Linked DNA regions of Ovis aries. The protein of the gene in region 1 purifies or fractionates together with the protein of each later gene. This does not show direct contact. Links are inferred from orthologs where the notes say so. Each region holds a gene or a part of one and is shown in the gene's direction. Other genes may lie near its edges.

Region 1 (10,916 bases):
AAAGCAAGCACCACTACATGCCTTTCTATGTATATAAGCTACCATCATAAAAGGAACACAAGATCAAGGTTTTTTTTAGACTTAAAGCTCTGGAGGCCCTTAGAGAGCTCTTGCTTGCCTTCTGCACATTGACACCTCTCATGCACTGCAATAGCCACCTCCAGCCTTTTTGGCACCAGGGACGGGTTTCATGGAAGACAATTTTTTCCACAGGTTGTGTGTGTCAGGGGGGTGATGGTTCATTCCAGGATGACTCAAGAGCACTACATCTACTGTTCACTTTATTTCTATTATTGTTACATTAGCTACACCTCAGATCATCAGGCATTAGGTCCCAGAGGTTGGGGACCCCTGCAGTAGACTATGAACACTGTGCAGTGGGACTTTTGTCTCTTCTGTCACTGTTTGTTCTCTGCTCTGAACACAATGCCTAGCATGGGGTGGATGCTCAATAAACATTTTATGACCCCAAAGATACATGCATCACAGATGTCTGGTCAAGGACAGAGGGCACTGATGGACCAGCACTAAGAACCACTAGCAGAATTTCAGGCATGGGGTAGGGCTGAGTGGAGAGAGATTTAAAGGGAGACGCAGAATCAGTCTGGCTCCAGGTACATCAAATCACCTTCCATCAAGGCCAATTACAATTAGTAACCAATCTTTAAAAGGTAAAAACCAGAGTGAAAAGCAATGGCTGTGTAAAGACTTTATTGTGGAAAAAAGTAAGCTACTCTCTACAAAGTGAAAGACACAACAAAACAGGCTAACACATTAATTAATTCAACAAACACTTACACTGAGTTACCAGTGTTAGGTGTTGGGGATACTGGATGCAAGCCCTCAGGGAGACTATATTCTGAGGTGACAGACATATGAACCAGTAAGCATACACTGTTATAAAAAACCCAGGATGCTCATTTAATAGCAGAAAGCAGCAATGCCTTGCTTACATACCCATATCCTATTTACTCTCCAAGGTCCCAAAACTTGCTACCTCCTTATTCAACAACAAGTCCTGGCTCCCCCATCTCAGAAGAGAGGAAATGTCAGCCTTTCTGTGTCAGACCTCGAACATGTAATCCTATCTTCCTGTCCCATTGCTGACAGCTCAGAAAGGGACTTAATGCTATCTTTCGCTTGTTGTTGTTGAGTCCAACTAAGTCGTGTCCGACTCTTGTGTGACCCCCATGGACTGTAAGCTGCCAGGCTCCTCTGTCCATGGGATACTCCAGGCAAGAACACTGGAATGGGTAGCCATTCCCTTCTACAGGGAATCTTCCTGACCCAGAGATTGAACCCATGTCTCCTGCATTGGCAGGTGGGTTCTTTACCAATGAGACACCAGGGAAGCTATCTTTCACCAATTATAAGATGTACTCCCTCCTTTTTTTTTTTTAACATTTGACAGTTGCTGAACTCAGGAAGGTACCTACCATTATGACTGATCACATTTTTTCTCTTAGTGATATATTAAATAAAGTAAAAGCATATTTCATAATCATATTGTCTTAGATCAGATGAAATATCGTATTCCTATTTTGCAAGAGAAAGTAACTTGCTCTAAGTCACATGGCCTGCTAACAAGTAACAAAGCTAACACCCAGCTCTGCAAGACAGACCTGCTTGACTCTAAAGATCGTGGCTAAAAATGACACAGATGAACCTACTTGCAGGGCAAGAACAGACACAGACATAGAGAAGGCACATGTGGACACAGTTGGGGGGGGACGAATTGGGAGATTAGGACTGACATATATGCACTACCATGTGTAAAACACATAGCTAGTGGGAAGCTGCTGTTTAGCACAGGGAGCTCAGCGCAGTGCTCTGTGATGACCTAGATGGGGGCTGGGGCTGGGAGGGAGGGAGATCCACGAAGGAGGAGGTATCTGTATACAGATAGCTGATTCACTCTATGCTGTTGTACAGCAGAAACTAACCCAACATTGCAAAGCAATTATACTCCAACAAAAAAACTGAAATAAACACTGTGGCTTTTCAATGCCCTATTGCCTCCTTCTGACACCCACAGTGCTGTCTCTCTTCTGATGACAGTACACACGACCTCATTTTACACTTAGCTGTGCTTCTGATCTCTCTTCCCCACTCAGCCCTCTTAATCGTGGACTTCTTAGAGAATCAGGAATGTTGTGTAAATCACAGAACAAAGTGTTTAGCACAGAACAGTCAGTTAATAACTGTCTCTCCCACAGGCCCTCAGTCCTCTGCCCAAAAGCCTTTGGCCTTATATCTCCATCAGGTTCCACTCCCCAATTCTCAGAACCATACAGTCCTTGCTACTATCAAGCCTGAGAAAAACAAAGTGTCACCTGTCAGGAGAGATGTGGATCCATACACATGGAATGTCCCTGTGGATTTCTTTCTTTGGGTCTCTACCTCCTCGTTTGTAGACAGGGGCCATACCAGATCTGCCTCCTTCATAGAGTTGTGATATTAAAACAGATAAATGATGCATGGACAATTGTTACTGCCCCTGAAAGGACCTATTTCTATTCTTGCTCTCCACAGTCCATTTCCCACACAGCAGTCAAAGTAATCTTTTAAGACAGTAAATCAGGGAATTCCCTGGCAGCCCAGTGGTTAGGATTCAATGCTTCCATTGCAAGAGGCCATGGGTTGGATCCCTGGTCAGGGAACTAAGATCTCGCAAAAAAAAAAAAAAAAAAAAAAATCGTAAATCAGTAATACTTTCTTGCTAGGAGCCCTAAAACGGCTTGTATTACACTTAAAATAGAGATCTGGTCCCAGAAGGGACCTGCACCTGGCTAGCTAGCTTTCTGATCTCATCCCTCTATTCCGCCCTGCTCCCACCACGCTGGCCTCTTTTTCCTCCCTTTAAGACATCAAGCTTCGTAACTGGTAGTTTAATGTATAAACGAAAGTCTCCACCCTCCTCAACCCGCAGGTGTCCCCTTTCCGTCTTCCCATTGCAATGTATTGATCAATTTGTCACAAGGCCTTCACAGAGCCTTTATAAAGTCACTCAAGTCTTAGTCTGAATATCACTAGTCTTCTCTGGACCCATACGAAAAGCAGCTCCTCCTGTTTCATCCCTGAATCACAATCGACACCATCATCACTTTATACTGTCGTCACAGCTCTTGTCACCCTTCTAAATTATTTTTTACTTACTTGCCTACTGTCTGTCTCGCTCACTAGACTGTACCCTCCGCTAGTCTGTCATGTTCTCTATGTATCTCCCAGGGCATGAAATAACGCCTGGCACACAAGAGGCGCTCCCAAAATATTTACTGAATGAATGAACGAATGAATACATTTGCTACTCCTTTAAAGAACAAACAGGCTCCACCCAGCCCCCAAAATACAGTCCATTTGGTAGGTCATCGCCGGGCAAAGTCTCCTTAGTCCCGGGATCCGGCTCCCGCCGGCGCGGCCCTCACCGTCTGAGACCATGGCGACCAGAGTCCCTCGGCGAACAGCCACTTGCAAGCAAGCAGACCTACAGAAGTGTACAAACCGCGACTTCCGGCGCCGCCGAGTGACGTAAGAGACGCCGCGCGCCTTACCCACAGCCCCGCCCCCAAAGCGCCGGAAGTGGAGTGTAGAGCGTGGCTGCGCGCTGTCAGTCAGTGTGGTGTGGAGTCCGCGCGGCGGCGGGACCAGTCCAGGCGTCTCGTGCGGCTCTGGGCCTCTCAGGCTCCGCGGTCCAGAGTGCACCATGGACAACAAGGGTAAATTGGGACGCGTCGGGCCTGCTGGGCCTAGAACGGAGCCTCGCAGGGATCCCTCCACCTCACACGCCCAGACTGGGCTCCGTCAGTTTTCAAGCTCAGGCGGTTTGGTCGGATGTGGTCCCTCTAGTCACAACTAAAACCCTCTCGCTGCTCGTGTATCCAGGGAATGGGTCTTGGGTGTATCCCCAGACATCCCTTCTGCCCACGCTTTCCAGTGCCTTCCAAAAAACGTGAGATTTCGGACGAATGTGCAGGTCTTCGAAGTCTTGATTTCTTCATATGTGAATTATGAGTAAGACTCCCTGAACCTGCCCTGTTGAATCTGGTACCAGAATCAAAAGAAAGGCGTATTTGATGTGCCTGTCTAGAGTGGTTATCAAGCTGTTTTATTAAGAACAAGGGCAAACTAATATGTATATAGTACCTTTCATGTAAAAAAGCAGAGTAGACTTCTACATCACATTCATATATATGTAGGTGAATAGGCTTGACTTGGCATAGACTGTCTGGAGGGGTGCAGGAGAAATCAGTAAGCAGGTTGGCTCTGGGATTTTTTGCAGACTTGGGGTCAAGAATAAGGGTGAGAATGACCTTTCACTATCATTTGGTGGAGCTTAAATTTTATTCCATATTACATGGGCTAGATTTTTCAAAATGAGAAAGAGCTTGCAAATAGTAAAGTGATGTCATCTCTATTCCCATCAACATTTTCTGTGTCCCTGAAGCCAAACACCCTGCAAAGGAACTATTTTTTAAATTAGTTTGCTTTTTAAAGTGAGCAGTCATTGATAAGCTCTGTGATTGTCTCTCCTGCTAAATGAATTCGCTGAATCACTTTTTTCTCCCTTCCCAGAGTTAATCGAATACTTTAAGTCTCAGATAAAAGAAGATCCTGACATGGCCTCAGCAGTAGCTGCCATCCGGACTTTACTGGAGTACTTGAGAAGAGATACAGGTAAAGGGGGTCTGCCTCCATTGTTCCAGGTGTTAGGAAAGTCTGCTTGTAACTGTTAAAATTGTAGAAAGTGAGAGATGGATGTGTGCTGATATAAGGTAATACAGCCTCAAGCTCAGTTTCTCCCTTCATTTCAGTCCTTTCAACTTGGAGAGAGCCCTCAAATGGGTCTCTTTTTTTTAATTTTTTTTTATGTGAACCATTTTTTTTAAGGTCTTTATTTGTTATCATGTTGCTTCTGTTTTATGTGTTGGTTTTTTGGCTGTGTAGCATACAGGATCTTAGCTCCCCAACCAGGGCGCTGTTTGATAACCAGCACCCCCTGCACTGGAAGGCGAAGTCTTTAACCACTGGACTGCCAGGGAAGCCTCTGAAGCGTACTTTGAATCAAGAAGGACCATATTATGCCAGGTTAACTGTGAAGCTTAAATTATAGCAATCGTTCAGCTTTACAAGTGTTTATTAACCTTCTGTCTTGTGACAGATTCTTTGCAGTTGCTATAGAGAATGTTCTAGTATAAATTCTAGCTTTAATATCATCATTGTGAGCACTGCGAATTCAGTCATCCCAAATGTAAACATCTGGGTATAAACAAAATAATAATAAAAATAATAAATTATTCTTTAATTTAAAGGGCTGACCTAGAGATGCATGTCTCTAAGACAACCTCCAGCATCTTCCCATTATTCTTATACTAATATCCAAACATCTAAGCCTTACCTGCACCACCCTGCAGACCTCTTCTGTCACTACTTAATTTCCTTCCATGCTGTCCCTCGCTGAACTGTGCTTCACTCTGGCCTTTCTCATACCAATTTTATTCCCATCTTGGGCCTTTGTGTTGGTATAGTCTGCATCTGAGGCTTTGCCCACTGCATCTTTACTCAGCTGGATACTTTCTTACTCAGGTCTCTGTTTAAAAGGCCCGCATTCCAAGAGATCATCCCCTGTTAACTCTTGTCTGAAGTAGTTCCACCTTTTGCATCATTCTGCTTTTTTCTGTCCTCAGTTCAATCTGAATAACTTGTTTATTTCTTTGTGTGCTTGTTTACTGTCTACCTCTCCCAGTAGAAGGAGAGTCCTGGAAATTCCCTGGCAGTCCATTGATCAGGACTCTGCACTTCACTGCCAAGGGGATCAGGGGAACTAAGATCCTGCAAGCCAGGCAGCACAACCAAGAAGAAAAAGAGAAAAGGAAAGGAAAGGCAGTTTCATCAGAACAGGGGCTGGTCATGTTCACCGATGTTATCTCTGGCATCTAGGAAGTGTGTGTGCTCAGTTGCTTCAGTCGTGTCCAACTCTTTGTGACCCCATGGACCATAGCCCGCCAGGCTCCTCTGTCCATGGAATTTCCCAGGCAAGAGTACTCGAGTGAGTTGCCATTTCCTTTTGCAGGGGATCTTCCTGACCCAGGGATCAAACCCACATCTGCATTGTAGGCGGATTCTTTATCTGCTGAGCCATCAGAGAGCCTGGCTACAGCCTACACCCAGTCCACTGGCTGAATGAATGAATGAGTGAATGAATCAAAGACCCATCAAGGGGCTGTGATACTGAAATGAACATCATGTTGCTCATGTGATCATTCCAGGAGAGACAATCCAGGGCCTGAGGGCGAATCTCACCAGTGCCATAGAAACCTTGTGTGGCGTGGACTCTTCCGTGGCCGTGTCGTCGGGCGGGGAGCTCTTCCTGCGTTTCATCAGCCTTACCTCCCTGGAATACTCTGTAAGCCCTGCCCTCCCCAGGTCACAACTCTGCTTCTGTGTTTAGCCACAAGTAGTCTCAGCTTGACCTAGATCCTCCCCTTCCCCTCATGTTGCTCTTTTTTTTTTCCCTAGGATTACTCCAAATGTAAAAAGATCATGATTGAGCGGGGAGAGATTTTCCTCAGGAGAATATCACTGTCAAGAAGTAAAATTGCAGATCTGTGCCATACTTTCATCAAAGATGGGGCGGTGAGTACGTCATGATCGTGGGTGGTGATCGGGAGCAAGGACTTTGGCATCAGACTCCTGGGGTAAAATCCCGCCTCTGCCACTTACTTGCTGTGTGATCTTGGACAAGTTACTTAAGCTCTCTGTGCTGTACTTTACTCATCTTTTCAAATAAGGATAAGTATAGTACTTAACTCATAGGGCTGCTGTAAGGATTAGTATAGGATTACTGCTATATCATAGGCAGTTGTCATTTTAAAGAGGCAGAGGAAAACCCTGGGACAGCATGGATGATTCTCAATTTGATAAGCTGTCTTACTAAAGAAGTGTTTTTTTCTTATGGATATGTACTAAACTGATCTGAATTAAATCAGCACAGCTCTTGTCACTGGTTCATCCTGACTTTCTTCCTGCCGAAGGTTAGCACTGGATTGAGATTTCTTCATCGTCATTCCAAATGCTGTCACAGAGATGCAAAGCTGCCAGGTGTTGATAACCTAAGTGAGGAAAGACAGGAGCACCACATTAAGTCAGTCTCCCAGCAAAGGGGTCATGAAACTTTTATGACGTCTCTTCCACCAGCACATATCCTTTCTGCCAACTAAGCCTCCACCGATTGTAAAAGTATTTACTTGCATCTGGACTCTGAAATCTTGTCCTCTGTTTTATTACTCCCTTCCCGGCCTCTGAATTATGTTATTAAATAAATGATGTAATAGATGCCACTGGCACTGGTACAAAAGCCAGCTTCAAACAAAGCCATTCTGAGACCAGGTGGAGGCAAGCTGGTGACTGCTTCTCGCCGAGGCCTCCTCCTTCCCAGCAGTTGGACTACAGGGTTCATTCATCCTCGTGGAGTTTAATGTGTGGTAACCACCTGCATCAGTGCTATTTAGGGTAAATTATGAGCAGAGTGGCTTAAATTCAAGCATGCAGGTGAACCACCTGGAGATCTTCTAAAGTGCATATTCTGGGACTTCTCTGGCAGTCCAGGGGTGAAAACTTTGCACTTCCAATGCAGGGGGCATGCTTTCAATCCCTGGTCAGGGAACTAGGATGCCCCTGTGCCATGCAGCACAGCCAAAATTTTTTTTTAATATAAATTTGTAAATATAAATTAAAATGCACATTCTAGTTCAGTGAGACGAGTGGGGCCTGAGAACGTGCATTTCTAACAAGCTCTCAGGCAAGACCCAGAAAGGAGCCAGGAAGCTGGTCCCTCCATCTTGCTTTACTCTGTCCTCTGCACTCTGTTCCTTAGAACATCTTGATTCCATCTAAGTATCTGCAAATTGTATCCAGTCCATAGTTGGGTTGTGTTTATCCCCAAATTGTATAAAAGTTTTAAAAAATGAGTCAACACTGAAATACTGGATTTTAGCTCCTCTAGAAAAATCAGAGGATCCAGCAACAGTGGGCCCCATGTGACAACAGCCGGAGGTCAGCCTTCGTACTCTGCTGCTGGCCCCACCAGCCTCTGCATCTCTTTATGCCAGCTGCCTGGTGCTTGAAGGCCCAAGTGTGCAGGCTAGGTCTTAGAATTAGGGAAACCAACCCAAAGGAACCTAACAGCCTTCAGACAGAAAGGCTTTTGTATCTGAGTACCACCACATGGAGATGCCACTTCTGTACTTGCTATGAAAAGATGAGACCCATGATATATTCCTCTGGCAGAAAACTTTTTTAGATTGTATCAATAGGGACTTCCTGACCATCCAGTGGTTAAGACTCCAAGCTTCCTTGCAAGGGGCAAGGGTTTGATCCCTGGTTGGGGGACTATGATCTCACATGCAGCATGGTGTGGCAGAAACAAAAAGTATCAATATATGGGCTTAAATTCAGTGTATTGTCAAGGATCTGCTTTCTGATTACAATTGATTTGTGTGAAAGTATACAGAGCAGCTTTAGGGTACCAGGAACACACATTGGAGTGGCAGAGAGTCTGAGTGATTGTTGGAAGTTTACACTTATGACGGAGCTTTCTCTACCCACAGAGAATATTAACGCACGCCTACTCCAGAGTGGTCCTGAGAGTCTTGGAAGCTGCCGTGGCAGCCAAGAAGCGTTTCAGTGTGTACATTACAGAGTCACAGCCTGACTTATCAGGGCAAGTATCTTTCTATGTGGTCATGTGCCCAGCAGTCCCTTTAATGAGCAAACTGAGGATGAGACTCCATTGTAAAAGGAGCCAGATGAAGTCCCCGATTTGTCTGTCAATCAGCATTGCCTTTCACACTGCCCATCCCTGCTCCTGGAAGAAAAATCACCATGAATTTGGAGTAGGTCACAGTACAGCATCTAGGGGTTTTATTTAGTACTTAAATCAGATATAAACTGAAAGGTTTATATCAAGGAATAGGTAGTTACATTTCTTATGTATCCAGAACATAATAAAACCCCTTTTTTTCTGAATTTACATATCCCTGCACAGCCCCAAGAGCACAGTTTTCCTAAAATACATACTTTTAAAGAACCCAAATGCTTCCTTAGTCCAGAATCTTGAGATCAGCCCCTTAGTCCATTAACTGAGGGGACTTCCCTGGCGGTCCAGTAGTTAAGACTCCATGCTTCCAATGCAGGGAGTGTGGGCTTAAGACTTCAAATATGGTCCACATTAAAAAAAAAAATTAACTGAGTTTCTAGTTAATGTGATTTATCATTGTCCAAATTAAGTGACTATGATAGGGACTTTCTTGGACCACCAGTCTCTATGATAGGGACTTTCTTGGACTTTTTCTAACATTCTCAAAATGTTACTTTCAGTAAGAAGATGGCCAAAGCCCTCTGCCACCTCAACGTCCCTGTCACTGTGGTCCTTGATGCTGCAGTTGGGTAAGCGCCCGGCTCCCCTATCACGGTTACGTTTCCTCACCCACCCACTCCCAGGGTTGGCTTGGAGCAGGGTTTCCAGATGGAGGGTCCCAGTCTCATTCATAAAACGAGAGTGGGCAGCGTCCTGCCTCCTAATTGACCGTGGCACTAAACCAGCAAGTGTTCATGATAAGAACCGGATGTGTACACACAAGACAGGGCTGTAGGATGCTGGGGAGAGCTGGATACATGGTGTCATGGTGCATTTTTAAAAAATACTTATTTGTGTCAGGTCTTAGTTATGGCATCCAGGATCTTTAATTGCAGCATGTGGGATCTAGTTCCCTGACCAGCGATGGAACCCAGACCCCCTGCATTGGGAATGCAGAATCTTAGCCACAGGACCACCAGGGAAGCCCCTCATGGTGCATTTTAAGAGCAAGGTGCAGTGACTGGATCAGCATTTGTAATCAGTGCTCTCTCTTCATCTAAAGACATGGGTTGTCGTTGGTGGCACTCCAGAATTTTTCATCTCCTGTGTACAACTTCACTCCTAAAGCTGAGGTGACACGCTCCATGGATTGGCAGCATGGCTCATAAGAGAAAACAGGAATAATAATCCCTTGGGAAGAAAACACACAGAGAGATACTTAAGGAAATTAGGAATGTGTTTGCTGCTGCTAAGTCACGTCAGCTGTGTCTGACTCTGCGACCCCATAAACGGCAGCCCACCAGGCTCCCATCCCTGGGATTCTCCAGGCAAGAATACTGGAGTGGGCTGCTGTTTCCTTTTCCAGTGCATGAAAAGTGAAAAGTGAAAGCAAAGTCCCTCAGTCGTGTCTGACTCTTTGTGATGCCATGGACTGCAGCCTACCAGGCTCCTCCGTCCATGGGATTTCCCAGGCAAGAGTACTGGAGTGGGTTGCCATTGCCTTCTCCAGGAATGTGTTTAAGAGTAAACATTTTGGGGCCTTCGCTGGCAGCCCAGTGGTTACGGTTCTGTGACTTCACTGCATGGGCATGGGTTCAGTCCCTGATCTGGGAACTAAGATCCTGCATGCTGTACACTATGGCCAAAAAATAGGGGGGGGCGCGGGGGGGAGTAAACATTTTGAAGGATTCTAGTAGTTGCTCGTTTTAAAAGGTAAATTGGCCCCCACCCTACCTGCAAAATTCTTGAATGGCGTAACATTTTTTTCCAACTTCAGATCACATCAGGTTTTTAAATTTTTGTGTTGATGTAGAATGAAAAATAGTGTGCCACATGCAGTAAAGATAAATGCTGGGTCATGAAATCCTTCCTTCAGCTGCACGTGTAAGCGTGTGCCTACTGGGTGGCAGCATGAGTTATACACCTTATCGTGGTGTCATCAAAATGGGTCTTGGTGCCCCTGTAGCAGAACCAGTAACAGGGCCAGGGGCTGTCTCGGGTGTTCAGTGCTCTTTGGAAGAAAGTTATGAGAGGAACACACTTTGCTAAAAATGGGAGGATT
Region 2 (10,118 bases), on another chromosome or scaffold:
GCGCTCTGACTTCCTTCTGGTGTATGGGGATGTCATCTCAAACATCAATATTACCAGAGCCCTGGAAGAACACAGGTCAGGATGGGAAAACAGTAGAGGTAGGGTTTGGGACCAACAGAGCCCTAGGACTGCTTTTTTACAGCTATCTCCTTCCTGTCCTTTATAGGTTAAGGAGGAAGCTAGAAAAAAATGTGTCTGTGATGACGATGATCTTCAAGGAGTCATCCCCCAGCCACCCAACTCGTTGTCATGAGGACAACGTGGTAGTGGCCGTGGATAGTGCCACAAATCAGGTGCTCCATTTCCAGAAGACCCAAGGCCTCCGACGTTTTTCTTTCCCTCTGGTATGTGTTTATCTGGGGTCCTTGAAGTGGGAAGGTGACAGGCTTCCGCAGGAGAGATGAGTTAAGTCCTTGTAACTTCTCCACAGAGCTTGTTCCAGGGCAGTGGAGATGGAGTGGAGATTCGTTATGACTTACTTGATTGTCACATCAGCATCTGCTCTCCTCAGGTGAGCTCCTCAGGTCAAAGGCTGCATATCCACCGAGGAAAACTCTGAGGGTGTATTACCACCCCCTTAAGTGACAAGGTATATTTTTTCTCCCCCTCTCTTATCTGTTCTATAGCAAGGAGGTGTTGTCGTCTTGACCCCAGTAGTTCATTGGCTGACTTTTTTGGGATTCTTGCCCATGTCCTGCTGTCACAGTGTCTGACATGTCTCTGGGAGGCTATGTTTGCTTCCAGAGAATAGTACTTAACATCATCCCCCTCTGACTTCTCCACACAGGTGGCTCAACTATTTACAGACAACTTCGACTACCAAACACGAGATGACTTTGTGCGAGGCCTGTTAGTGAATGAGGAGGTAATAAAAGGCTCCCAGTGCCTCTTTAGAAGAGGGCTGTAATATTATCTCACGCTGATAACTTTTGGTTTCCCACCCCTACCCCTCCAACCCCGCCTTTTTCCCTCTCTTTCTTCATTTGCTTTTTTATTTTAACCAACTTCAGGGACAGTAGACCCTGCTGACACACAGAAGATTCATTTTTCATTTTTGTCAGATCCCCAATACCATCTGACCACCCGTGACATGTTAAAAAATCTCAAAATCAACAAATCGATTGCTAAAAACGTGACTATCCACCATTACACGTAATGTGAAATTTTGTTTTCCCTTGGGTAGGTGGGGAGACTTTTGGTCCCGTCTTATATTTTATTGAGCTGTAGGAGGAAGGAAAATAGCTGGAGGTGAGGGGGGAGCAGTACAGAAAAAAGTCTCAGGCCACTTGGCTATGACATTGAGAAGCAGTAGGGAATTTAAGGAAGTTAGAAGAGAATTATACTGGGGGATGTTCTTTCTCTCTTGCTTGCTTGGGTGACCTTTTTTTCTCCTCATTTAGATCTTAGGAAACCAGATCCACATGCATGTGACAACTAAGGAATATGGTGCCCGGGTCTCCAACCTACACATGTATGCTGCTGTCTGCGCAGATGTCATCCGCCGATGGGTCTACCCTCTCACCCCAGAGGCTAACTTCACTGACAGCACAACCCAGAGCTGCACTCACTCCCGACATAACATCTACCGAGGGCCTGAGGTCAGCCTGGGCCATGGCAGCATCCTGGAGGAAAACGTGCTCTTAGGTTCTGGCACTGTCATTGGCAGCAATTGCTCCATCACTAACAGTGTCATTGGCCCTGGCTGTCACATTGGTGAGTATAGGTAGGGAGGTCAAGCTGGCCATCCTAGGAGCAGGAACTTGGGGGAACCCCATGAGTTCAGAAAAGGATACAGAGGGATAGTCCCTGAGAATAAGGAACTAGAGTGGCTGCCTTAATAAAGGAAGGAACAGGGATGTAAAAACAGTGATACTTTAAATTTGTGGTCTGTGAGCCTATTATTGGGTGACTCTTCGCATTCCAGGGTACCCTGTATTCACATTCAGGACCAACTGGATAATTAACATGCAATAACACCTGTTCAGTACATAGCAGTTTACAAAGGGGTTCTGTGTACTTTATTTCATTTAATCCTCATAAAAACCTTGTGAGGTATTATTTATAGATAAGTTTTATAGATAATCAAAAAGGCTAAAAGTGGTTGTCCCTCCAAGGTCATGGCTCATAAGAGGCAATGCAGGTACTTGATTCTGATTATAAGTTTAGGGTTCTTTATACTCTTTAATAACTCACTTTGGTTATAAGAAAGTGATGCTTCTCATGAAACTGCCCCATTAAGAGAACAATAAGATTCTGACTTTAAAATGTACCAAAACAAAAGCGGTAGAATAATTTGGTTCTACTTTTAGACAGGAATGTGATTCTAATAAGTTTCTTGAAAGAGATCTCCAGAAATCTTAAAGGTTCTCAGGTTCTTAAGTTCAGTATATAGTCAAATTGCTGTAAAACTGGTGGAGGGTAGTCAGGCTGGGCAATGTTCTGGTCTCTGGCCTGAGCTTAGAGAGGAAGAGGGGATTTATGGTAATTTGGGGATGGAGTGGTAGAGCTGGATGGGAGCTCTGCTGGTGTCAGTCAGCCCCATTCTCCACAAATGGTCTGAAAAGTGGCCTGGTCTGGAATTGGAGCCATGGGTGACCAGGAGTCTTTCCTGTCCTGAGCCAGGTGATAATGTGGTGCTGGACCAGGCCTTCCTGTGGCAGGGGGTCCGAGTTGCTGCTGGAGCACAGATTCATCAGTCTCTGCTCTGTGACAATGCTGAGGTCAAGGAAAATGTTACACTGAAGCCTCACTGTGTCCTTACTTCCCAGGTAAGACCTGCTCCACATGGCACAGCTGAGTGGTGGTTATGCTGAGCCAGAAAGTGCCTTATGTCCACCAAATCCAGCCTCAATTGAAATTCCCAATCCAGTGTTTTCATTTGCTTTCTACTTGACTTAGTAAAGTCACTTTCCTTTGCAGGGAGTACTTTTCCCACACATTAATGGATTTATGCCACCCACTCCTTTTTTCTCCTCCAGGTGGTAGTAGGCCCAGATATCATGCTGCCTGAGGGCTCGGTGATCTCTTTGCACCCTCCAGATGCAGAGGATGATGATGATGATGGTCAGTTCAGTGATGATTCTGGGGCTGACCAAGAAAAGGAGAAAGTGAAGCTGAAAGGTGTGAAACTCAGCAGGTGTGGGGCATCTGTGTGTCTCTCTGCCCCATAGAAATACCAGTGTTTCCTCCTAAGGGGTTGGTGCTTCTCCTGGGCCCTTGCTAAAGATCAGTGTCTTTTCCAGGTTACAATCCAGCAGAAGTCGGAGTTGCAGGCCAGGGCTACCTCTGGAAAGCTGCAGACATGAACATGGAGGAAGAGGAGGAACTACGGCAGAATCTATGGGGTAAGCTAGGCCTCATTCCTGCCACCCACCATCTAAATCAGGTTATTTTGAGGGAGTTTGAACACTTCAGAATCATACTGGCAGTGGTTTAGTCCCTAAGTTATATCTGACTGTTATGGCCCAGTGGACTGTAGCCTGCCAGGCTTCTCTATCCATAGGATTCTGCAGGCAAAAATACTGGAGTGAGTTGCCATTTTCTTCAGCAGGGGATCAGAATCAGACTGCTTGTTCATTAATTTATTCATGCAGACAGAGCAGATATATTGCTGTCAGTGGCTCTTCCGTTTTCTTTTTTCTCACCCCTTCTGGATTCTCAGGACTCAGAATCAACATGGAAGAAGAGAGTGAAACTGAAAGTGAGCAAAGTATGGATTCTGAAGAGCTAGGCAGCCGGGCAGGCTCTCCACAGATGGATGACATCAAAGGTACGTGGCCAAGGGAGCAGTGTCTGGGACAGAGGAGGAGAACATCCAGTTTGGTTGGGCATAAAGTGAGGACTGGATGACTTAAAGCATCCTGGAGCAATATTGGCCCATGAACTTATTCTTGCTTTGATTTTAGTGTTTCAGAATGAAGTCCTGGGAACACTACAGCGGGGCAAGGAGGAGAACATTTCTTGTGACAATCTAGTCCTGGAGATAAATTCTCTCAAGTAAGAGCAGCCTCTCCCTATTCTCATTTTCTCAGGGTAATCCTAGGTGGTGGAGGTTCTCTCCTAATTCTTCCCCAAATAGGAACATGTTCCCTTGACATCGCGACTGGACAAGGCTGGTAGCATTTGAAACAGGGAGAACATTGTTCTAGCCTCAGCATAGACTTCTTCCTTCCAAAATCTTCCCTTTGCATGTTGCATCTGACTTCCTCTTCCCCAATTTCCTGCCAAAGTCATAGTCCTACAGTATGCTGAAAGGGCCAGTGAAGGCCCTGGTGTCACCCCAGTGTCCCCACAGGTATGCCTACAACATAAGCCTGAAGGAAGTGATGCAAGTATTGAGCCATGTGGTCCTGGAGTTCCCACTGCAACAAATGGATTCCCCGCTAGACCCAAACCGCTACTGTGCCCTGTTGATTCCCGTAAGCAAAGATTGAGGCTGGGTACAAGGGGTTGAGTGGAGACAGGTATACATTTTGGGGGCTTGACTTTAAAGGAAATCAGGGGTAGAAGGTCTTATGGGGTATGTGTTACTTGTGGTTCCTTTCTCCTTGCCTCTGGACACAGATTGGGTTCTAGAGCAGGTTTGGTTGTCCAGGGGAGTCAAGTTAGTTTCAGTAATGAGTGGCCTTTGAGATTCCAGTATTCAGATGGTACTAGACCCCAAAGGCATACCCAGAATGGACTGGATTGTCGTACTCCGACTGAAAATGATCTGACCCAGAATAAGGTGAACATTTAGACTGGGAACAGATATTTTGAAGCAGCCTGCAGCATCTGACCCTCTTCACCTTCCCTAGGAAATTTCTTTTTCTCCAGTCCTTCCAGCAGCTCCCAGGTGCCTATGACATAGTTCCACAAAGCCTGTATAATCTCGTCTTTTTTAATTTTTAATTTTGTGACTTGCGGGATCTCAGTTCCCTCATCAGGGATTGAGCCCAGGTCATAGCAGCAAAAATACCAAATCCTACCACTAGACCACCAGGCAACCACCTCTTGTCTTGAAAGACCTATGTTATCATTATTGATTCTCTTTACTGTCCAGGTCTAGGTACATGCTCAGGAATATATTGCAGCTTCTCCTCTTTCCTACAGTTGCTCAAGGCCTGGAGCCCTGTCTTTAGGAACTACATAAAGCGCGCCGCTGATCATTTGGAATCTTTGGCAGCCATTGAGGACTTCTTTTTGGAGCATGAAGCTCTTAGCACTTCCATGGCCAAGGTGAATACCACCCCAAGCCATATAGTCTTGCATTTACTTTGAAACAGGCTTTGGTGACCTCCATGGAGACACAGTATAGACTGACATGAATCCATGTGGAGTTTAGTTAATAGTGTCATCTACCTGTAGTGTTGTGCTCATTGCTGAGATAGTACAGCTTGGAGCCAAGCTAGTAAGGCAGCCATTTGGAGGTTGTCCTGGGAATGTGTGGAGCACTACAGTTACAGAAGTCAGACCTGTCCCAGTATCAGAGTGAACAGCTCACTCTTGTCTGTTTTGGAGGAGACTGCACAGTGTATAGGAGGCAGCTGAGGGCCTGGTAGGAAGGCACTAGATCATGCTGCCTCTTCCTCTGTTACCCATTGTATCTTGAACCCTGCAAGGCCCCTGAGACCGCCTCTGCTGGCCTTCTGTAGGTACTGATGGCTTTCTACCAACTGGAGATCCTGGCTGAGGAAACAATTCTGAGCTGGTTCAGCCAAAGGGAGGTAACTGACAAAGGCCAGCAGTTGCGCAAGAATCAGCAGGTGAGTCAGGTTGCCTTCCTCTGACTACAGTGGGTGTCTGGTTCCCTGGCTCCCGGCCCTATACTCCAGGTGGCTGGTCCCTGAGCCTCTGGTTGTTTATCCACTAAGGAGAACAGGAGGGTTATGTGCGTGCCCCTCAGTAGCTCTCCACTCTGCTTCCTTACAGCTGCAAAGGTTCATCCAGTGGCTAAAAGAGGCAGAAGAGGAGTCATCTGAAGATGACTGAAGTCACACTGCCTGCTTCTGTGGGTGTTGTTGATTAACCTCAAGGTTTCTGGGCCAGGACAAGTGAGAGACTAGTTCAAAAGGATGAGTGACCACCATCTGAACTGAGACTGGAGCAGAGGCTGGAACTACAGTATTCTTCCCACCATCAGCAACCATGTGCCTCCCATCCTGACTGGGGAGTGAGCGTGAAGGAAGTTGGGCTGGATAACAGCTCTGCCTAAGGAGGAGCTAAGCAGGCCCTGCGGTTAGAGGAAGACCAGAGGAACAGCTTTGTGCTTTGGTTCCCCTCAGGGAATAGCAGAGAGCAGTTGGCCCTCTCTGCGGCTTGTATTTGTTAATATTAAAAAAACAGAGAGGGGTATATTTGGTTTCTCTCCAACTCTGATTGATCAGCCATTGATGTAGGTGACCAAAGAGTTCTGAACCTTTGATGTAGTAGTAGCTTTTTCTTAACCACCTGGTGGAGAGGGAGAAGAGGGGTGTTGTGTCCACTAGATGGTACTGTGGTGCCATGGTACTAGTTGACCATTGCCATGGTCATGATAGTGGAGGGGCTAGATTCTTTTCCAGCCTTTGTGGACCAATTTGTGGTCCTGGAGTGGTGTGCCCAAACCAAGTTCCATAGAGAGTCCTAGTCCAGACACTTTTCTTCAGAGGGTGATGATACCAAGCATATGTAAAGTCCATTAACCACCTGCCAGTCCATCACATGCTTTGTCCAGTTGATCCACGTCCACTGTCAGGGAAACAGGGCTACTCTTCATCTTCAAAATAAGGGAATTTGTTCAAGGTCTCATGACTTTTGGGGGGTAAAGTTAAGGACTTGATCCTCATCCAGAATTCTTTTTCCTTCACCATTTTCAGTGTCTCAGTGAAGGGAAATTCCCCCCAGATGCAAATACAACCTCAGGCCAGCAATGGATATTCTTAAGAACAGAGGAAGAATCTGAGATGGGTTGTCCCCTCATATATGTTATTTTAGTTAATCTTCACATCAGCCGTATGAAGTAGCTCTTATCCCCGTTTTCCGATGAGAGGAGTCTAAAGTTCATAGAGGTCCCATAAGTAGTAAGTGATAGAGCAAGGATTTGTTATTAGACTCTAGAACTGGAGTTTGTCAGGTTCCAATATTGTCTGCTTTAACTTGGACTGTGAGAAATGCCCTTCTGTCTTATCTTGTTGAGTTCTTTGTTGCTTTCCTATAATCCTCACTCTGTTAACACTTAACTCTGGCAGATGTCTCTGGTAACAAGTGGCCCTCTTGGACATAGATAAAATGGTTGCCTCTCTTCATTTCAATTGGGTAGAAGGAGTAAGCTGAGGAAGGGCATACTGAACTGTGTTCAGGAGTGTGAAGGGGCATTACTCAGTATTTCTGAAGAGGGAGAAACAGGGTGGCTGGGATTTGGCTTAATTTGCTTTTCTTATTCAGTAAATCTCAGTTTCTGGGTTCGATCCCTGGGTCGGGAAGATCCCCTGGAGAAGGAAATGGCAACCCGCTCCAGTGTTCTTGCCTGGAGAATCCCATGGACAGAGGAGCCTGGTGGGCTACAGTCCACAGGGTTGCAAAGAGTCGGACATGACTGAGCGACTTCACTTCACTTCACTTCTTTGTCAAATACAGGACCTTGTGACTAGAAAGCATGTGAAGGTTATAGATGGACCTCATAGGGGCAGTTAAGTACAATTAACTGTAGAGTACCTCTAATTTATACCTAGTGGGTGGCAGAGATCAGAAGTGGCCTGTAGAACTTTTTAGAAGGAAGATATTCCTTCTAGTTTGGGTGCTTAGGGAGAAGGCTTACAGGATTGTGACACCTGAGTGGCTTTAAAAAAAAAAGTAGAAGAGAACATTATAAGCAAAGCAATGGGTTTCCACTTGAGTATGGCAGATTGAACACATGAGCTTTTTACTCCCTCCAAAACCCCTTTCAGTGTCAACAGAGGAATTTTTCAAAAAAGGCACATGACTCTATGACAAGGAAAACAAGGTGGCAGCAATGAATGAAAGACATCAACATTTTGGAAAAAAAGTAAATGGGAAGGTGAAGGTTGAGCTAGCAGAGCAGAATGAGATGGGCTCTACCTGCTGAGGTGATTGTTAACAAGAAGCAAATCAGTGTGCCCTTCTGAACCCAGAAGAGGCTCAGGAGAGGGGGTACGGATTGGGGCTGAGAACTGAGGTTGGGGGAGAGGGGAATCAGAGATGTGTATGAGAAAAAGCCCCCCCAGGTCCTTTATCTGATCCAGCCGAGTGACTACCCCTACTTCTCTGCAAGAGATAGGAGCTTTAGTCTCTGGAGAAATGGTGGGGAGGCAATTTTCAAAGAACTACTTATAAAGGTTTCCTAAACCCAAAGGTCATGAGTTTCTAGAACTGACGAGTCAATGAGTGCCCAGCACAATAAACAAAAATAGCACTGTGAAATCTCAGAACCTCAGGGAAAGTATAAACCTTTAGAACCACCGGATTTAATAGGAGACATGGTGGGGATGAGAGTGAGGGGCTAGATTGAAAATGAGGGATAAAGTGAAAGTATATGAGTGGCAGGGCTCTGAATGTCACCACAACTGACATAGCCCCTAAGGCCAAAACAATTGCAGACAAAAGGCCTACAAATATATTTTTGTTTCAAAAAATCCACTCATCACCCTACAGTGAAACTGGTTATTTAATAAGCCCTGTACATGGACAGAATTTACAATTAGCCTTTTAGTATTTCACTCTTAAATGTGAATAGACCATTAAGGCCCACCAGACGTGACTGAAGCGACTTAGCAGCAGCAGCAGCAGACATTTGAGGAAACTTGCAATATGAAAGGTAGAGATCACAACAAACAGAAAATTGAAACTAAGGAATTCACAAAGTAGCTTTCTGAAAACTTTAGGGAGGAAAATGCTATAATTCTCAAAGCTCAGAGAAGATAATGTATCTTTGAATAAATGCTATGAAAAGGAAAAGTTGGAGGACAAAAGAATTCTTAGAAATTAAAAAAATAGGTAAATGATTTTTTTCCTACTGGAAAACTGGAAGAGTACAAAACCAAATAGGAGGGAGATTATACTATGTCCATCCTTATATACTTACTGAGTTTTTAATTGTGAATATTTTACCTGTACGATTAGATAGGGGAAAGTTTGGAAATACTTTTAATCTTGCAAAAAGGTAAAATCATTTAAAAATAAAGTGGATGATGAAGAAAAAAGGATCAATCCAGAAGGTCCAACATGTAGCAGGAGTTGCAGAAACAACAGGAAAAAATGGTAGTAATGTTACTAAATAATTCAAGAAAGGATTGTTGAACTAGATGGGAAGTGCTCACCCAATGCCTAGCACAGTGAATAGCACCAAGGCATATCACCAAGAAATTTGAGAACCCCCAGGGATAAAGAGTACTTCCTAAAGACTTGCAAAGAGAGTTAAAAACAAGTCCTGTACAAATGCTTAAGAAAAATTAAGAGATCAGACTGATCACTTAATAGCAACACTGGAAGCTAGAAGACAATGGAGTGACTCAGAATTCTGAAGGAAAATTGTTAAGACTTGCTCTCATCTTTTCAAGTTTCTCCCCAGTTAATCTTTTTTTCAAAACTTTTTATTGAAATATAGATGGTTTACAATGTGTTAATTTCAGGTGTACAGCAAAGTCATTCAGTTTTATACATATTAATATATATATACTTTTTCAGATTCTTTTCCATAATAGTTCACCCCAAATTTTTATTTCTCATGCTTTCAAGGGAAACTACCAAAGGATGTGTTTTATTACTATTGAGGAGCAAATTATTGAGGAAACTGGAATCCAATACAGAGGAGAGGTAAAGAGAATTCAGAGAATAATGCAAAGAAGTCCAAGGATGAGAGCTGTTCACAGACTGAGACAGCCAGCAGTGCAGACCAGAGCAATGGAATGGAAGGGTCCAGAAAAGAAAGCCAATGGGTTATCTAGTACATTTAACTGAGTTAGTAAAATATGAATTGAGAAGCTATTAGATTATGTGGAAAGACTTAATGATAAGTACACTATATAAAAAAGCAAACGCAAGAGCAAGGCAATGATTAATGCCAGAAAGAAAAGTTGGAAACATAGTCAAAATGTCAATACTAAGTACCAAAATCCTAAGAAGTTAGGTGAGGTAGAGAA
Region 3 (10,312 bases), on another chromosome or scaffold:
TATTGGGGACTTACCGGGCAGTCCAGTGGTTAAGATTCTATGCTTCCACTGCAAGGGCATGGGTTCAATCCCTGGTCCAGGAGCTGAGATCCTGCCTGCCCTGCAGCAAGGAAGGAAAAAAAAAAAAATGCTACGTATAACTCTACTCATGCTTCCCTGGTAGCTCAGGTGGTAAAGAATCCACCTGCAGTGCAGGAGACCCAGGTTCAATCCCTAGGTTGGGAAGATTGCCTGGACCCACTCCAGTATTCTTGCCTGGAAAATCCCATGGACAGAGGAGACTGGCGGGCTACAGTTCATGGGGTCACAAAGAGTCGGACACAACTGAGCAACTTAACACTTTCATAATTCTACTACTTTGAGATAGTTGGTAACTTTTTTTTTTTTTGGCCAAGTCCTGTGGCATGAGAGATCTTAGTTCCCTGACCAGGGATTGAGGTCCCTTGAACATTTTAATGTATTTCTTTCCATCATTTTATTTATTTTTATATATACATATACACACTTGAGATTGTGCTGTATAAATAACTGCCTTCTGCTTTCTTTGTTCAGTATTTTTTCACAAGCATTTTCCTGTGTCATTAAAAAATTGTTTACTGAGTTTTGCCTATATGCTCTTCTATTACATATGTGTTTTATTGCTTTTCTATTGTTGACTATTTGGTGGTTCTCTATTTTTATAAATAACATTGAGTTATTTTTAATAACTAATAACTTACTATTTTATAAATAATGTTATTTTTATAAATAACATTAAATAATATCTTTTTGTTCAAAGATGTATTATTATCTGATTATTTTATTTTTCAGCATATATTTATTGAGCACAGATATATAGAAATAGAATTATAAAATAAAATAATATGAATATCTTCAAAACCTTTGTTATATATTGCCAATTTTTAGAAAATAATATTTTTATATAATTTTAAACATTTTAATCTATCTATGAAGAATATTAATATTTTGTTCTATTTGTAAAAATAATTTTGGCTTATTTTGTGGAGTTGCTTGTTTGCAGCTAGTAGTCAAATCTTTTGTTCTCCTCTGTGATTTTTTATTTCTTAGGAGCTTATGACATGAGGCAGGTGTTTCTGGGAAAACTATCTAAGAGGGAAGGGAGAGGGGATTTCACTGGTAGTCCAGTGGCTAAAGACCCTGTGCTCTCAATGCAGGGGCCCAGGGTTCTATCCCTGTTCAGGAAACTAGATCCCACATGCCACAACTAAGGCCCAGTGCACCCAAATAAATAAATATGAAATTTAAAAAAAAAAAAAGAAAAGGAAAAGGAGAAAGTGAGGTTGCCAAGGGCCAGGGCAGTGGATCCAGCTGCCAGCCTTCAGCCCCAATGGATGTTCACAATGAATGGTTCATGGTGGCATTTCCCACTTCTTGGTATAGCTTTGAGCTACTTTTAGTTTGACTAGGAAGCAGGAAGTATAATTTTGTCCTCCATCATGATGCTAAGCCAACTGCATTATGAGAATCAACCTGATTGCTGAGCGTCTGCAGAGGCAGGTGGGACCTGGCAGGAATGCTTCAGGTCCCCTCCTCACATCCTTATCTGATCTCCTTAAAGGGTTCTGTCTAAAGAGGCTATGTGCCAAGGCTTGTTTGCTTGCCTCTTGCAGGGACAGTTCTGTTTGACCTATAATGTAAACATCATGGCTCTGAAATCCCCCAGCTGTCCATGCTTTGTCATTTCTTCAAAGGGAACTGACTTGTTTTCCACCCGAGTGGGGCCAAGGAACATTTGCTACCCACACTGGCTTGGAGTATTAAAAGGGGAGAAAAAAGCTAAGAATAAGTGTTGTTTCATTCTTCGTATTCATATGGAAATTTTTAATCTTCATCAAAAGATCAGAAGAAAAATCACATTGAGATTCAATACAAGAGCTTCCAGCTTACACAGAATTTTTCAAAGGTATTTGGCTTGATCCTTTAAAAATGACAAAAACCATGAACTGTGTAGCTCCAGGGTTTGTAATTTTGCTTACCCTCCTCAGCCTCCACCTCTGTCTTGCCTTCCTACCTACACTCCATCTATGTGGTCCTGTGTCAGCCTGCAGAACTTCTTTGAATGGGGGCTGGGAGAGGGGATAGGAAGTATGAAGCATCAGTTAGATTAATTGGGCTCTCATACATTAACCCCTCTCTCAGGCCATGTTATCTCATCTTTCAGAGTCTTGAAACTGGTCTCTTTTCATTCTCCTATTCCAAGCCTATTTTCACTGCTACCAGAATCACCGCATTAAGAAATAAAACTCATCATGTCACTTTCCTGCTTAAAAACTACCTCTGGCTTGTCTCAGTCCAAACTTTCTAGACTGCCACAGAAGGCCTTCATGATCTGGCTCCATTGCCTCCTTAAGCAGCTTCATCTCCTTCTACTCTTTTCCTTAAATCCATACTCAGGTTACTGTCCACTAGATTATGAATTTTTTGAAGTCAGAAACAGTGTATTTCCAAGGTCTAGCAAAGTCACAGCATATTACTAGTCTTGTTAAATTCTAAGGTAATTAATCAGTGATTTAAAATTCTAAAAGGTCCACAGTGTGAGAAAGAAAATTAAAAATCATATGGTAGTCTTGCAGTTCCTTTGCTAAGTATAAATTAGAAGCATACTCACTGTACTAAGGATCAGGTCCTTCTTCCCCATTACAGATTCCTAGTCATTTAAACCAAACATCCTGGTTCAGCACCCATGGGGAAGCACCATGCCTCCTGGGACCCAGAGGGGCCAAATGGAAGAGTTCCAAACCTCTTAGCCAGGGTAGCTTACTGCTTGTATCTGAGTGATACAAAATAGTATAGGAAATTTCTTGCCTTCTGAAAGTTTTTCTGCGTATTGATCTTTGGTCTGATTTTCTTTCTGTAAGTGCTGTCCTAGACTGATCTGATTTCATGAAAGTAAATTGAAGTTGATTTTGTTGTGAAAATTCTTTGGTAGCCTTGGTAAATGAGTACAACTGTTATTAATATGAGAGAGCCCACTCTTCAGTAGAATGGAGGCTGAAATCTATGTGGGAAATACTGAATGGATTAGGATGGATTAGTCATTAAAATGGATTTTAAATTTCTAGAGTCCGGAATCAAACCAAGAGAGTAGTAGAATCTGTAAGAGTAGAATCTAGGAGAAAACAAAAGACAAGAAACATAAAGAATGGTTTAAATGATAAAATTTGATAATTTGCATAAAGAATAGAAAAATCACCCATAATTCTACTACTGTAAGAGAGTATAGAGTAGAAATTGTATAAATGGTTTTTGAATAGTGTTATTCAACTTGTTAGTATCACAAAAAATTTTTAATATTTATTTATTCGCTGTACTGGGTCTTTGTTGCTGCACACAGGCTTTCTGTAGTTGTGGCAAGTAGGGGCTATTGTCTAGTTGCAGTGCATGGGCTTCTCATTGCAGTAGCTTCTCTTGTTGTGGAGCACAGGTCCTAGAGCATGCGGGCTTCAGTACTTGTGGCATGTGGGCTCAGTAGTTGTGGTGCACAGGCTTAGTTGCTCTGTGGCATGTGGAATCCTCCTGGACCAGGGATCGAACTTGTGTCCCCTGTATTGACAGGTGGATTCTTAACCCCTGGACCACCAGGGAAGTCCTTGGTTCAGTTCAGTTCAGTCACTCAGTTGTCTCTGACTCTTTGTGACCCCATAAATCACAGCACACCAGGCCTCCCTGTCTATCACCAACTCCCAAGGTTTACTCAAACTCATGTCCATCAAGTCAGTGATGCCATCCAGCCATCTTATCTTCTGTCATCCCCTTCTCCTCCTGCCCCCAATCCCTCCCAGCATCAAGGTCTTTTCCAATGAGTCAACTCTTCACATGAGGTGGCCAAAGTATTGGAGTTTCAGCTTTAGCATCAGTCCTTCCAATGAACACTCAGGACTGATCTCCTTTAGAATGGACGGTTTAGATCTCCTTGCAGTCCAAGGGACTCTCAAGAGCCTTCTCCAACACCACAGTTCGAAAGCATCAATAGTCCTAGTATCAGATAAATTTTTAATCCATTACTATAACAGAGCAAAAGAGGAGAAAATATGATAAGCTCCATGGATGCAAAAAGAGAAAATTCAATACCCATTCATTGATGAAAGCTTTTAGCAAAGTTAGGAATAAGAGAGATCTTCCTTAACTGGATAAAGGGTATCTACAAAACCAATAACATGTGCCAAGTATTAGCTATAAAGTACAAAGCCCAATGTCTACACATAGAGGACAATCAAATAGTGGCTTTGGCGATAAAAATTATAACAATCATTAGTCTAAATGATAAAAAAGAAAAATTCCCTTTAAAATCAAGAATAAGTAAGGATGAACTGCTGTTAGTGCTTCTGTTCAGCATTAGTGTATTGAAAGTCTTAGCCAATATGGTAAGATAATGAAAAATACGAACTAGCAAGGAAGAAGAAAAATTGTTGTTTACATAGTTGGTATGATTGTCAGAATCTACAAATAAATTATTAATATTAAGATTGTTTATCAAGGCAATTGGCCCCAAGGTTGAAATATAGTAAAATGAGATTCTGTTAACAAATAAGAAGAAAATAATTGTTGAAAAGACACCATCTATAATACTAATCCCTCCAAAATTAAGATACTCTGATTAATCTAATGGAAAATACAAAGCCTTTGTAGAAAAATTTTAATATTTTGAAACAACTTTTTTTTCAAAAGGCCAGAGCATTCTGCTTTCTCATGAGTTATTGTCAGTTAATAGTCAAGACACCATGTTGACATATGTACACACATACAAACTTTCAGGCACATACTTTGTAAATAGGAATTGTAAGAGACTGTTCTCTGCATAGATCAGGGGACGGGCATCTCAGATTCAACACACTGCTCGTCCAGCTCCAGCCTGAACTGAGAAAACTTAGATCCTCTGCTTCTCCAGAACTGCCAAGCCCTTGCCATTTCTGATCTCTGTCGGTCCCAAGGTGGCATGACAGGAAGGAATTTGGCTTTTCCTTGGATGCACAGTTTTTTATTCTAATTGAATCCAGACCATCAGATTTCTGATATTTGGCTACTCTTTCTCCCTAGGTCAATCACTTCCATCCGGAGTGAACTGATTCCATACCTAGTAAGAAAGCAGTTCTCCTCAGCTTCACCACAACAAGGACAAGAAGAAAAAGAAGAAGATCTAAAGAAAAAGGAGCTGAAATCCTTAGGTCAGTGCTTGAGTTGGTGCAGTACGGTACAGGTAGTGACACTTGTGGAAAGAGTGGCTGGACAATTTAGCCCAGCCCAAGATGCTTGTCTCAAGGCATCAGGTTCTCATCTAGCCAACAGGCAGGCCAGGTTAGCTTACACCACTCCCTGAGCTCTGGGCAGGCTTATTCAAGCCGATTCTCGTCCCTGTGCTCTTCCGGGACAGGCTAACCATACCTCAGGCCTGTTCTCTGGTTAACAGGCCTGGTTTGGCCATGTTCGTGTCTAGACCTTTTTGGCTTTGCACTCTGCCCACCGTTTCTCAGTTCTCCTGTTCTCTGACTCTGGGAAGCCCCACTCCTGACTAAACTCAGCCTCTCCTATCAAGGGAGGAAAGGTGAAGGGCTGTATAATGACAGTCCAACCAGAGCCAACAGACTTTCTCCTTTCAAGGGTGTAGGGATGAGGTCAGTCTTTGCTCTCATATCCTTGCCTAGTCCCTGGCCCAGTCCTGGACTCATAGTAGATGTTCCCAAAAATGTATTTATCAAAGGAATAAATGGAGACAGTATAGCATGATGGTTAAGATATCAGGGCTTAGCATCTCAGACCTGCGTTTGAAATCTGACTCTACCTTTTATTAATTCTGTGACCTAAGGCAGATTTTTCAGTCTTTTGAGCCCCCATTTTCTTAATCATAAAAGATTTCAAATGACTGTTATAGGAGTTGAAAAACTGGGGCCCAGGTCCTGTGCTGTTTCTCTCACAGCACAACTACCAGATGTGCTAATAGAGGCTAGCAGCACAAAGCCAATAGGGCTAGACACTAAAGCCTGGACAGTCACTTGTGTTTCTCCATGGTGTACAGAGTCTATTTTATCTTCCCAGTAGTGCTTGATCATCAGTCAAACTTGCTTACAGGACCTTTTTTAAAAACATTTTTGTGTCATAATATTTCAAATGTACATGAAAGCACATTGCTTCTTTTGCTCTTTGACTTAGTCTTTCAGGTTTTAGTGGGATTTCCCCAGGGTCCATGCTGCATGGTTGAGTTGCAGGGGAAGAGATTTGAGCTGTACCCTCCTTCAAAACTTGACTGAGTCTATATCCTTTCTGTTACCTGTCTCATGTACTTGCTTGTTTTTGGTTCTGAAGATATTTACAGTTTTATAAAAGAAGCCAATACACTGACCCTTGCTCCCTATGATGCCTGCTGGAACGCCTGTCTAGGAGACAGCTGGGAAGGTTTGTCCAGATCACAGGTGCGCTGCTATGTCCACATCATGAAAGAGGGGCTCTGCTCTCGAGTAAGCACCCTAGGACTCTACATGGAAGCCAACAGACAGGTGAGAGGATGAGTTCAGAAGAGAAATCATGGGGATTCATCTCCCAGGAACAGATCGGAGCCTTTTGTCTTATTTCTTCATTAGGTGCACAGTAACTTGTACAGAATCCCACATTCCTAAGGTTGAGCAAGACCTGGTGTGTCAGGAGACACCATAGGGGTACCCAAGTACAGCAAAAGGGGAAGTGAGGGGCATCGTGCAGAGGCAGAGCTGCTGTGGCTCCAAAGAAAGGCCGAGATCTCGGGAAGGCTTCACTTCTGGCCTCTGGGTTCAACAGATTTCTCCTATTCTGCTCAGCATGGGGATATCCATAGCACTTCATAAACAAGCAGATAAATACTGTGTAACCAGGCACACAGGGGAGGTAACCAGGCACACAGGGGAGGCTTTCCTTAGAAGGTGAAGGAGCAGAGTATAGAGTACCCAGATGACAAAGCATCAAGGGAGGAATGCCTATGTGAGAGAAATCTGGAGAACGGCATTAGAGCATGCAGAGTCTTGCTAACCCATCCTTTTAACCCTGAGGTTTGTGAAGTGTGGAGAATTAGTAGCTTCTACTGAAGGGGAAGCAGTGCCCTTAAGGCCCGCCAGGTTTTATTTAAGGCAAGGGTGAAGAGGGGGAACAATGAGGAGGCAGCTTGTGTGCAAGAGCTCTTTATTGTGTGCCAGGGACAGGAGGAGGGGAAAACTGGAATTGGAATTGAATCCCTGAAGAAAATCTGACTCAAGAATCTTTAGGACCCACACCATGTAGTAGTAACAGTCTCAGACCCAGACCTCAAGCTAGCCTTAAACCGGATTGGTTATAGTCAATGGAATCCAAGCCACAGGGTTTATAAGAAGTCCAAGCTAGTCCCATGTTTACCCAGGGCAGTCCTGGAGAAAGTTGCCCCTGTGTAGCATTAGAGGTATATAAAAGGCTTCCTTAATTTGACTTTTAGTTCTCCTTATTCAGTTCTATGACTAGAGTCTGTCTGGCTAGTCTGAAAGCAAGTTGATGGATAGCCTAAGGCCAGAGAAGTATCCTCTGGCGTGTCAGCGGGGGCTGTGCGTCAGACAGGCCTGAATGGCATTGGCTGAAGTATAACAGAGGAGATCCCAGGCATAGGGACAGAGGGATTAGCCTTCATATCACCAATATAGCCAGTCTGGCCAGGCCTCCCTCAGTTAGAGTGTCTGCCACACACAGTGCTCTGACCAGCATTCTCTCCACACTGAGAATCACAGATATACTATCTCTGCCTTAATGGGTCCAGAGCTAAAGCACTCCACACCCATAACATTTTCAGTTTTCTCATACTGGAAACAGAATAGTGTGAATGTCCCCTTAGACATTTTATTTTGGTTGGTAAAGAACATGGATGCCTCCTTAGGGTGTGTCCTGATTGTGGAGTTATCTAAGATTACTCCCATCCTCCCCTCCTGCATGGTCACTGTGGTCCAGGAGGTGAACAGGAACCTAAGGTGACTGTGGTTAGGCCTCAGGGTTCCCCTTGCTCTCGTCAGACCTCCTCTCCCAAATGCTGCCTGACTGTCTCTAAGGCTTGTCTCACAGCCTCCCGGTTGAGGGACACAGCAGTACTTCAGGGAGGAGGCTCTCAACTAGGAAACTGAGGATGAGACTGTATAGAAGCTGTTGCATAAATGATCCTTGTCTTGGGGGAAATACCTCAGCCTGCCTCATCCAGACAGGAGGCAGTGGCTAAAAATTCCCCACATCTCTTAACTGAACACGAGGTTCTACTTAACATGTTTTCAGTTGTTTTCTGGTCTTACTTTAGTGACCAAACCTCTTTCCTCAAGGTGTCCAAATTGCTACCTGTTATCTGTCCAGAAGAATCACTGATTCACTCATCAGCCCAGATTGTCAGTAAACACATGGTAAGTGCTGGCTCGGGCAGAGCAGGTATGGGGCACTATCAGGATACACTGAGGCTTGTCTTTGAGAAGCTGGTTTGGGGTGTCAAGCCCTGAACATCACTGGCCCCAGGGAGGTCCCAAACTGGGTTCTGGTTATAAAATTTTACCTTCCAGTCCAGGCTTTCAAGCAGACTGCCTAGACAGGCGCTGAGCCCAGCCACACAAACCCTATAAGAAAAGTTCGTTACAGCCTTTGAACTCAGACACAGGATCTTTCCATTTCCGTCCCTCTTCTTACCCTGACTTGAGCACTGCCTTCAGGAGAGCACCTCGGTATACACAAGTGCATGAGTGTGTAAGTCTGAGTTGGTCTCAGAGATATTATGGGACCTTGTGGCCCTGAGAAATACTGGTGATGATCCCTCTTGCTGAAGTGTCTCTAGGAAAAGATCTCACTAGACCCCAGCTCAAGGAATCTGGATGGTTGGTTTGCAGTTGGTTGAGATGAGGGGACAAGGTATTATATTTTATATTTTTATTTGCCTTTTACAGGTTGGAGCTGACAGCCTCATTGGGCCAGATACACAGGTTGGAGAGAAGTCATCCATTAAGCATTCGGTCATTGGTTCATCATGTGTCATAAGAGATAGAGTGACTGTCACCAATTGTCTTCTCATGAACTCAGTTACCGTGGAGGAAGGGTATGTCTCCCCTTGTACCCACTTGAGGCAAGGCCGCTGATGTCTCTGGGAGGCTTTGGAGGCCACCCTAGCCTAGGGAGGTGATCAGCTTTGGGAGGGGAAGAAAAGGGAAAGGAAGGAATAATTCCTAGGCCTTGGTTTCAATGTCAAAAATGACATAGTCTTGGAAAGCATTTCTAGCAGTTTTCTCATGATGATTGGAGTCCTGAGATAAGCTGCCTTCTCTTGCTTTGGTATCCTGCTTGATGGGATGACCACAGTAGTGAGCCTGTGGCAGGGTGGACACTGCACCAATGTCTAAGAGTCACCTGCCCCCTCTCAGTGTCCTACAGAAAGCAGAGGCCTGCAAGGAGTGGACATATAAGATACATTCCATTTTCAAAGGAAAGCTTCTCTGTTACTAGTTATAAAGAATCTTTTCCCATTTTAAGATGTTTTGGAATGCCCTAAAATCTTGGTTTATGAACAACCTGAACTTGGAGTAAGACTTAAATGATGCTTAATAAAATTCTTCCTCTGTATGAACCTCAGGTTTTTTTCCTTGTATAAAATGCAAAGTTAGTAGTGGAAGAGAGGAAGGATATTACCAATGGTTTCCAGACTTTTTAGAAAGGAAACTTTTTCTTAAGATAAATCTTAAGCAGGAACTCATTATTTAAAACTGGTAAAGGCACTGTTGTTTGGAATACAGTCAGGGAGGGGCACTTATCCTTCCTATGGAACATGAAAACTGATCTATAAAACAAATTTTAAAAACTACTCTTTGCAACCCCATGGGTTATACCCTGCTAGGCTTCTCTGTCCTTGGGATTTTCCAGGCAAGAATACTGGAGTGGGTTGCCATTTCCTTCTCCAGGGGATCTTCCCAACCCAGGGATCGAACTCTGGTCTCCTGCATTGCAGGCAGATTCTTTACCATCTGAGCTACCAGGGAAGCCCCAAATCTTGACCACATCCCCATGACATGTGGGATCTTAGTTTCCCGACCAGGGATCAAACCCTCATTCCCTGCACTGGAAGGCAGAGTCTTAACCACTGGACTGCCCTGGAGTTGCAGCTAAAACCACTAGGTGAGAGAATTTCCTGGCAGTCCAGTGGTTAGGACTCTGCATTTTCACTTCCAGGGCCAGGGTTCAGTCTCTGGCCAGGGAACTAAGATCCTGCAAGCCACTCAGCTCGGCCAAAAAAAAGCCAGTAGGCTAGGTCAGCCTGAGGTTGATTCTAGCTCTGACATCTGTT

What was found.
Region 2: the proteins of EIF2B1 (region 1) and EIF2B5 purify together in Homo sapiens (affinity purification with mass spectrometry; 7 studies listed by BioGRID and IntAct, counting the BioPlex papers as one, with this or other methods). This does not show direct contact. The link is inferred for Ovis aries from reciprocal best matches to the Homo sapiens genes EIF2B1 and EIF2B5.
Region 3: the proteins of EIF2B1 (region 1) and EIF2B3 purify together in Homo sapiens (affinity purification with mass spectrometry; 7 studies listed by BioGRID and IntAct, counting the BioPlex papers as one, with this or other methods). This does not show direct contact. The link is inferred for Ovis aries from reciprocal best matches to the Homo sapiens genes EIF2B1 and EIF2B3.

The regions. Positions count from the first base shown.
Region 1 is NC_056070.1:52,087,624-52,098,539, forward strand, and holds the start of EIF2B1 (translation initiation factor eIF-2B subunit alpha), read left to right. Parts: upstream 1-3,575; 5' UTR 3,576-3,703; coding exon 3,704-3,716; intron 3,717-4,572; coding exon 4,573-4,674; intron 4,675-6,266; coding exon 6,267-6,403; intron 6,404-6,516; coding exon 6,517-6,633; intron 6,634-8,606; coding exon 8,607-8,723; intron 8,724-9,375; coding exon of another isoform or gene 9,376-9,379; coding exon 9,380-9,444; intron 9,445-10,916. Other genes in the region: GTF2H3 (general transcription factor IIH subunit 3), read right to left, coding at 3,426-3,438.
Region 2 is NC_056054.1:203,786,437-203,796,554, reverse strand, and holds the end of EIF2B5 (translation initiation factor eIF-2B subunit epsilon), read left to right. Parts: coding exon 1-75; intron 76-166; coding exon 167-344; intron 345-430; coding exon 431-511; intron 512-787; coding exon 788-865; intron 866-1,400; coding exon 1,401-1,713; intron 1,714-2,622; coding exon 2,623-2,768; intron 2,769-2,978; coding exon 2,979-3,120; intron 3,121-3,242; coding exon 3,243-3,344; intron 3,345-3,661; coding exon 3,662-3,769; intron 3,770-3,905; coding exon 3,906-3,996; intron 3,997-4,294; coding exon 4,295-4,418; intron 4,419-5,091; coding exon 5,092-5,217; intron 5,218-5,633; coding exon 5,634-5,744; intron 5,745-5,910; coding exon 5,911-5,970; 3' UTR 5,971-6,333; downstream 6,334-10,118. UniProt on the Homo sapiens protein: Acts as a component of the translation initiation factor 2B (eIF2B) complex, which catalyzes the exchange of GDP for GTP on eukaryotic initiation factor 2 (eIF2) gamma subunit.
Region 3 is NC_056054.1:19,543,516-19,553,827, reverse strand, and holds part of EIF2B3 (translation initiation factor eIF-2B subunit gamma), read left to right. Parts: intron 1-5,058; coding exon 5,059-5,186; intron 5,187-6,321; coding exon 6,322-6,512; intron 6,513-8,315; coding exon 8,316-8,393; intron 8,394-8,924; coding exon 8,925-9,073; intron 9,074-10,312. UniProt on the Homo sapiens protein: Acts as a component of the translation initiation factor 2B (eIF2B) complex, which catalyzes the exchange of GDP for GTP on the eukaryotic initiation factor 2 (eIF2) complex gamma subunit.